Linked DNA regions of Caenorhabditis elegans. The protein of the gene in region 2 binds, or shares a complex with, the protein of the main gene of each other region. Each region holds a gene or a part of one and is shown on either strand. Other genes may lie near its edges.

Region 1 (4,391 bases), 9.5 Mb from region 2:
TATTGTGGCTCAATTCACGAAACTTTCGCATCCTGCAACATTTAGTAATTATATTTATATTCGTTATCAACAACAGCTTACCACTCGACGTCTTTGAACAATTCTCTCCATTCCATCAACTGCTGCGTGACAAATGAAACCAACACATCCGGCAATCGATGACTCTCAACAACTGCAGCAACGTCACGGAGATCCTCGAATCGAAAGCAATCCATGACATCATCGCTGCGGTTCATAAGCTCTTTGTAGAAGGATCTCCAATATGTTTGTGACCTGAAGTAGACATCGAGAGTGTTGGATTCCTTGTGAAAACGTTTTATCTTCTTTTTCAGCGGGCAAAGTATTTGCATTTCAATCTCTGAAAAACAAAAGTATAAATTGAAAATTTCAGAAAAAATTCAAACTCACTATCCAAGTGATCGATTGCGGTTTTGGCAGATCGAAGAAACTTTTGAAACTCTCTGTCATAGTTTGTCTTCAATTTTGAGACGTGAGGAGTGTAGAAACCTGAAATATAAAGAATTAGAGATTCCGCTAAATCTTTTATTGATAAAACATACCAGAGGCGGAATGTGCCCTGTGCGTTTGCCGACCCATGGGTATCGGAGTTCCTGGCATTTGCTGCCTTTGCCGTTTTGCTTTTACCGGTGTGTTCATCTAAATTGTACAAAAATTGACCAAATGAAGCAAAAAAACAACGAAGAAAGCTATGTATTTAAGATAAAAATTAATTTTAACAGTGTAATTGGCGCCCGAATACCCGCTTGTTCAATTTTCGTTTCGAGACCCACGACTGGAAGATGGGCACGCACCTTGAAATGTAGATTTACGGAGCCGATCGATTTATTTTAGAATTTTTATAAAAAAGATGAAATAAAACCCGTCCGAAAAGTGAGAGAACGTGAGTAATTTAAAAAAAGAGATATCAGTTGCATCCGGGGCATACGTGTAGAGACTCGTGAAGAAGAGTATCACAATCGAGACAAAACACAAGCTGGCAACTACCACAGCGAAAACCTTCACCAGATAGACGAGTTTCACATGCGTAGCAGAATCTGAATATCTTAATTGTCTTATATATTTTTTTCTTAAATCTGACGTACCCTCGTGTCACTTCAATTTGCTCAAAAGCTGACAGCGGCTGAAGATGTCGAAACGCTCGAGCAAGCTGTGGAGCTGCGACAAGTGTAAGTTTGCAAACCGGGCATTCAGCTGGAATCGAGCAGTGACGTGCTCCGCACTGTGTACAAATGAATCCACGAGATGAGATTGGCTTCGTGTCAGGATGACTGAATTAGCAAAAATTAGCTTTAAAAGAAGTTCATTTAAAAAAACCTCACCAAACACAAAACGATCTTGTTGTAATCAGCTCGTGGTGTGGAAATCCAACATGAATTGCGTTGCATTCACTCGATTTTGCTGAGGACGGTGGGAGTGTATGCTTTGAGAATAAAAGTTGCAGATGGTCAGGGTCAAGAGCTACGGAATATTCTCCTGTAAATCATTATTTTGGAAAAGTTTATTTTAAAGAATAAAATAAAAATCACCTTTCGTTGCTTTAGCCATTTCCTTGCAAACGAACATTTCAGCAGACAGTCCAATAGCAGAACAACGAATATTCATTCGCTTCATTGTCTTGAAAATGTTACAGATTAGAAAAATCTACTTTTTTAGTCAAATAACCTCAATAGTGCTGTAAATATTTCCAGGATCAATTGTTGAAAGTGCTGATATAACGAGAACAACTTCTCGTGATACATGACCCGGCATTCCTCTAAAAATCAATATTTTATATTCTGAAAACGATTTTTAACTTACTTCAGGTTGGCACAAGCTAATTGAAGAGCGTTTTGAAGAGAAAAATCGCCACCACAGAAAGCTTCAGTTAGTGTGTTCAGCGATTCTTTTAGCACACGAATATTTCCTGAAATCCGTTGAAAAAAAAATTGAAAATCTCGAATATTGAGTCTAACCTGTCATCATTGTCAACCGATCTGCTTTACGATCTTTACAAGTGATCAATCCAATCTGAGCAATTGGATTTTGCTCGAAGAATCTGTCCAGGAAGGTTTGTAGAGCCTGGAAACATTCAAATACATGTCAAATAAATCGTTTTTCTAACCTTCATAACAACTACAAATCTCGATGGAGGCATTGCCTTGCTCGTCATGAATCGTGAGCAATCGATGACAATCATGACGTGGCGCATCTGAAATTAATTTGGAATTGCAATTTTGTAATTGATTTCATTTTATTGTGTTACAATTCCGAGGCGAATCCGTTCCGGTCTCTTCGTCAATCGGGCTTTTCGTTTGCTATCAGCCACGTATTTGGCAATTGATTTTTCGATAGATCCACCTTCATCTTCCACAAGGACATCATTGATGTTCAGGCCTGAAATTTAACTGATAATGGCTTATATTTCATAAATTTATTGAATAAGTGGTGATATTACTCGGAAACAAAAGTTTTGTAATTTTTGGGTCAAAAATACAGTCCAAAGTCTCGACACATCAATTTTTTGTTAAATTTTAAAATGTGTGAACCTTTAAAGAGTAATGTAATTTTAACCTTAAATAAAATATACGTTTTTTATCGAAAAGCTACGGAAAATGATTGAAATTCTTTAGCAAAAACAAGATTTTTCAATTCTAGTTTTTTGGGTATTAAAATGTTTTCCGATATTTTGAAAAATAATGTTTTTACCATTTTTTCTCCTTTAATTTTCGTTTTTCGCTGTTTAATTTTTGATTTTTTTAGACATTTTCTGAAAATATTGTTAAAATTAAATTTCCAAACCTTCTGCATATCCTGCTTCCCAGGTGTAACCCTTCTGCTCATCATCATCCATATTTATCTGAAACCTAGTAATACTTTTCACCTTGAATCCGGCGCGCACTTATAGGAATCCACACTGATAATAATTTCATCAGATTTAAATTTAATCTGAAAAAAAAACAAAACAATGCAACAAATGACGACGATTATTATTTGTTTTTTAAATTTTCTTTTTAAGCACATAATAAAAGCCACTTCCAGATGGGTGCGAAAAATGGGAAACCAGTAGACTATGAAGTTCGAGGGGCATTCAAATAAAAAGGACACAGAAATAGAAAATTTAGCGAATTCAAGAAATAAAAAGAAAAAAAAATACAGAAACATACAGGAAGAAACCCGTCGTATTGTGACATGATGCCTTGTGAGGGCATCAATCATAGATGACTACAATTCAAGTATGGGGGGGGGATAGAGATTCAAGACATTTCGATGACAAATCAATATGGACAATTGTGTTTCGGCCGTTTCTTGGGTGGCTGTACAAGCACTACGGGAGGAGTTTGCTGAGTTGCTAGTGCTCTAAAGACTTCTTCCAATAGTTTGGGATGGTCTCGAACGAGGTCTTCCCAGCCTTCTGTGTCCATTACCTGAAGAGCAAAACTATGAAAATTAAAATTATTTATTCGTCACACACTCACCTCATTTGCATTAACATTGATAAAGTTGATAGAGTGAGCTCTGAGCTGAGATGCCGAGTACATATCAGCAAGCATCAGTGTCAAACTAGCATTATCCGTTGTCAGTTGATAACAGAGGGCTTGTTCGCACATTACCTGAAAATTTTGAATTTAAAAAAAAAAAAATTTAGAAATAAATGCTAGCCAGAGCAATTTCGCAGTACAGTTTTTAATGCATTTTTCGAGAAAAAGTCAGTCTAGGTAAATTAAATTGATGGAAATTGAAAATTCATTTAAAATGCGGATTTTTTGAAATTCTGATTGCTCTGTTAATAGAACTAAACCGTACTTTCAGTCGATCTAATTGATATTTATCAGCAGCTGCAATCAAACTTTGAGCCATTTGTTCAATGTATTTTGTCTGTCCTGTATACATGTAGACAAGAAGCTCACGCATAACTTCTGGCTCAATATCATCAACCGTTGTCATATTCGTGTCAGATTCCTGCATATGATGCTCGAACATTGCCGAGAAAACTCGCGACCGGGCAGCAAGAATTGCCTTGTGAATGTGAAAAGTCTGTGTTGGACTTCCTAGATCGGATTTGCAGACCAATGTGAAATCGGAGAACTGTTTGTTGTCGAATAATCCGTACATATCATCTGCTAGTCGGCATGGTGGAACTTTGAAAAGTTGAGAAACATTTGTTTGTCCTGTCACGTTTACTGTTTCGGCTACCACAGACACCTGAAAATTGTTTTTGTTGATATTTTCGTGATTTCCAGCTATATTAATTGAGATTTTCTGTTTTTCTTTAATAAATTATTTGAAACACCGTTTTTAAATTTTTCAGACCGTTTTCCGGTTCGAAAAATGGAATAAAATTTTACCTAAAAATCGATAATTTCTCATGAATTCTTTTGTGCCGAAAACAG
Region 2 (3,316 bases):
GCCCCAACAACCCCTCCACACATTCTCAGACATTTTATTTCAAGACTTGTTTGCCTTCTCCCGAATAATTGTCAAATTTTCATATTTTTTTTTTTTGTTTTTTTGTACAAATAAAATAAAGAAAAGTGAAAAGTATTAGTCCAGATGTTTCAGGAACTGAAAATGCTTAACAAATCTAATACTTTCGTACATTTTCCGAAAAAATTTTTTTTTTGCCCAAATGAAAAAAAAGGCAGTAAAAAAGGACGGATTAGATGGCTGAAAAAAATTGGGCAAAAATAAAAAGTTGTCTAGTTTTGTTAGAAACGGGTAATTCATGTATGCTGCATTCAGAAAATCTAGGTTTAACCCTTCGAAAACTATCAGAAAGTGGCAAAAATGACAATTTTTGGCAAAAATTCACAATTTTGAAACTCCTCTAAAATGGTTAGTTTTAGAGTTAGAGGACTCAAAATTGATTTTCTGACACTATAAAATTGCCTTTTTCAATTTCTAATAGTTTTGTACCTTTTCCGAAAAAATTTTTTTTGCCCAAATAAAAAAAAAGGACAAGTTGAAAAGTTTCAAGTTTGCAGATCAAAAGGTTTTTTCCCTACACAGAAAAAAATAATGATTCCAAATCGCCTAAAACATGAAGCCTGTTGAGAAATTAATTGTTTATTTATTTAAATGGGGTTTAAGAACAAAATATACGAATTTTTAGTTATTTTCAGATGAAATTAGCTTGATTTATTTGTCAACAGCCTCCGGATTCATATTTTCCATGATTTGTTCCACCTTGTTCTCCAGCATTGGAACGATCTCCTTTTCGATGAACAAATGCGTATCGTCGAGTTCCTATAATTGAAATTTCATGTTTGAAAGTGCTACGTTTTTTTTTATGTTTTAAAAATTCCAGAAAATTAAAAGTATTAAATTTTTAAAAAAATCGCAAAAATTTTAATTGAAAAATTCAAAAAATGTTGAATTTCTGCAATGTTTTATATCGTACCAATATTTTTTTTTATTCCGAATTTTCCAAATATTCTTTCTTTTTAATTTGAATGTTTTGCCAAAAAAATTGGAAAAATTGTAAAAATTTAACAAAAAAAAATTCGAAAAAACATTGCAAAATATTTAGCAGACCTATAATCCCTTACCCTGACAATGAACTTGGATCCGAGCTGTCTGGAGTCGTCCAAATGGATCAGAAGTTGACGAAAAGCCGGATCACTCGTCACCAACACTCCCTTCTTCACGTTCACCATGGCTTTCTGTAAAATGTGGTTGAAAATGGAGAAAAAATTGAAATTTTGGAGAAAATTAGATATAACCCTGGTAAATAACAACCAGTTAAATTAGAGAATATAAAATTAATCAACTTTCCAAAAAGTGATATATGTTTCTGTTCAAAACCGTAAAAAAATGAAAAAGAAAATGAAATTTAAAAAACCTAATTATAAAACAAGAGATCCGAAGAAAAATTGAGAAAAAAGAGAAAAAAATTTAAAAAATACATATAATGATAGCACGCTCTATTGGACAAAAATCTTTTAAAAATAATTAAAACTATCGGTTGCGACGCCCCAAACGTCGAGTTCTTCCATTTTCTCATCAACTTGATCGCGTAGTACCATTCGTGCGCTGGCGATGATTGAATTCGCTTGAGCCATCCGAATTGTGCCGAGCTCTTGAACTAGTTTCAGTGGATTTGCTCTTGCAATCTGAGAAAAATTAATTGATTTGCAGAACCACAATTCGAATTTCTCACCATTCCAACGGTTTTATAACCAGCTTTGAATAAAATTGCGGCCCGTGCTTTCTTGATTCCATCAACTGTCATTAACGGTAAAAGTTCCGGCTGGGCAGCTTCAGAAAGTCGTTGAACAAGTTCAGGAAGTAGTTTTCGTAGAGGCCACATCGTGGTGATTTTCTGAAAAATTGCAGAAACGTTATTTAGTTTGGTTTTCTACCATTTATTATTGAAAATTAACCGTATTTTTGAAAGGGTCTGCTAATTATTAGCAGACCCAAGTATGGTCTGCTAAATATTTAGCAGACCCAAGTATGGTCTGCTAATTATTAGCAGAACCAACTATGGTCTGCTAAATATTTAGCATACCCATGGGTCTGCTAATTATTTTCACATGGGTCTGCTAATTATTAGCAGACCCAAGTATGGTCTGCTAAATATTTAGCAGACCCAAGTATGGTTTGCTAAATATTTAGCATACCCATGGGTCTGCTAAATATTTTCCCATTGGTCTGCTAAATATTTAGTATACTCATTGGTCTGCTAAATATTTTCCCATTGGTCTGCTAAATATTTAGCATACCCATGGGTCTGCTAATTATTTTCACATGGGTCTGCTAATTATTAGCAGACCCAAGTATGGTCTGCTAAATATTTAGCAGACCCAAGTATGGTCTGCTAAATATTTAGCATACCCATGGGTCTGCTAAATATTTTCCCATTGGTCTGCTAAATATTTAGCATACCCATTGGTCTGCTAAATATTTTCCCATTGGTCTGCTAATTATTAGCAGACCCAAGTATGGTCTGCTAAATATTTAGCAGAACCAACTATGATCTGCTAAATATTTAGCATACCCATGGGTCTGCTAATTATTTTCCCATTGGTCTGCTAAATATTTAGCATACTCATGGGTCTGCTAAATATTTTCACATGGGTCTGCTAATTATTAGCAGACCCAAGTATGGTCTGCTAAATATTTAGCAGACTCAAGTATGGTCTGCTAATTATTAGCAGAACCAACTATGATCTGCTAAATATTTAGCATACCCATGGGTCTGCTAAATATTTTCCCATTGGTCTGCTAAATATTTAGCATACCCATGGGTCTGCTAAATATTTTCCCATTGGTCTGCTAAATATTTTTTGTTGCCTTTTTTGTCGGAATCTTCAATTAGCCGAAATACAGTCAATATGGGTTTCAAATTGACGGAAATTTAATGGAAAACCCAAATTTCTTTACGAAAACTACCGAAAATGATCTTTTTTTTCCAATTACCTCTGAAAATTTAGCAATTGACGCGGCCTGTGAAATCGATGACTGCAGTGTCGCCTGAAGCCATCCCTTCTCCACGCCAAATCGTTCGGCTACCGTATACATTGGCTCGTGATTCCAGATTTTTTGAAGCATCAGCGCAATGTAAAGTCGCATTCGAGGAGTACCGGCGGTCAAATCGACACGTGTAATGATGGCTTCTAGTATGAATTTCTCTTCGAGACCACACTCGGCCAACAATTTTCGCTCGCTTGACGGGAGGGCGTTGTACTGCAAATATTTGAATTTTTGGGGCTGAATTCAATTT

The links.
Region 1: gtf-2H5 (region 2) and gtf-2H2C share a complex: the UniProt entries of both Caenorhabditis elegans proteins name them as parts of the 7-subunit TFIIH core complex.

Annotation. Positions count from the first base shown.
Region 1 is NC_003281.10:10,087,929-10,092,319, forward strand, and holds gtf-2H2C (General transcription factor IIH subunit 2), read right to left. Parts: upstream 2,858-4,391; 5' UTR 2,852-2,857; coding exon 2,800-2,851; intron 2,395-2,799; coding exon 2,264-2,394; intron 2,210-2,263; coding exon 2,123-2,209; intron 2,080-2,122; coding exon 1,974-2,079; intron 1,925-1,973; coding exon 1,819-1,924; intron 1,775-1,818; coding exon 1,684-1,774; intron 1,636-1,683; coding exon 1,548-1,635; intron 1,495-1,547; coding exon 1,341-1,494; intron 1,290-1,340; coding exon 1,104-1,289; intron 1,056-1,103; coding exon 926-1,055; 3' UTR 829-925; downstream 1-828. Other genes in the region: hal-2 (Coiled-coil domain-containing protein), read right to left, coding at 1-32, 82-358, 409-507, 561-657; spop-1 (Speckle-type POZ protein homolog), read right to left, coding at 3,276-3,425, 3,477-3,611, 3,805-4,203. UniProt on the Caenorhabditis elegans protein: Component of the general transcription and DNA repair factor IIH (TFIIH) core complex, which is involved in general and transcription-coupled nucleotide excision repair (NER) of damaged DNA and, when complexed to CAK, in RNA transcription by RNA polymerase II.
Region 2 is NC_003281.10:576,315-579,630, forward strand, and holds gtf-2H5 (General transcription and DNA repair factor IIH subunit TFB5), read right to left. Parts: upstream 1,254-3,316; 5' UTR 1,248-1,253; coding exon 1,140-1,247; intron 838-1,139; coding exon 730-837; 3' UTR 632-729; downstream 1-631. Other genes in the region: helq-1 (Helicase POLQ-like), read right to left, coding at 1,533-1,703, 1,751-1,912, 3,013-3,279. UniProt on the Caenorhabditis elegans protein: Component of the general transcription and DNA repair factor IIH (TFIIH) core complex, which is involved in general and transcription-coupled nucleotide excision repair (NER) of damaged DNA and in RNA transcription by RNA polymerase II.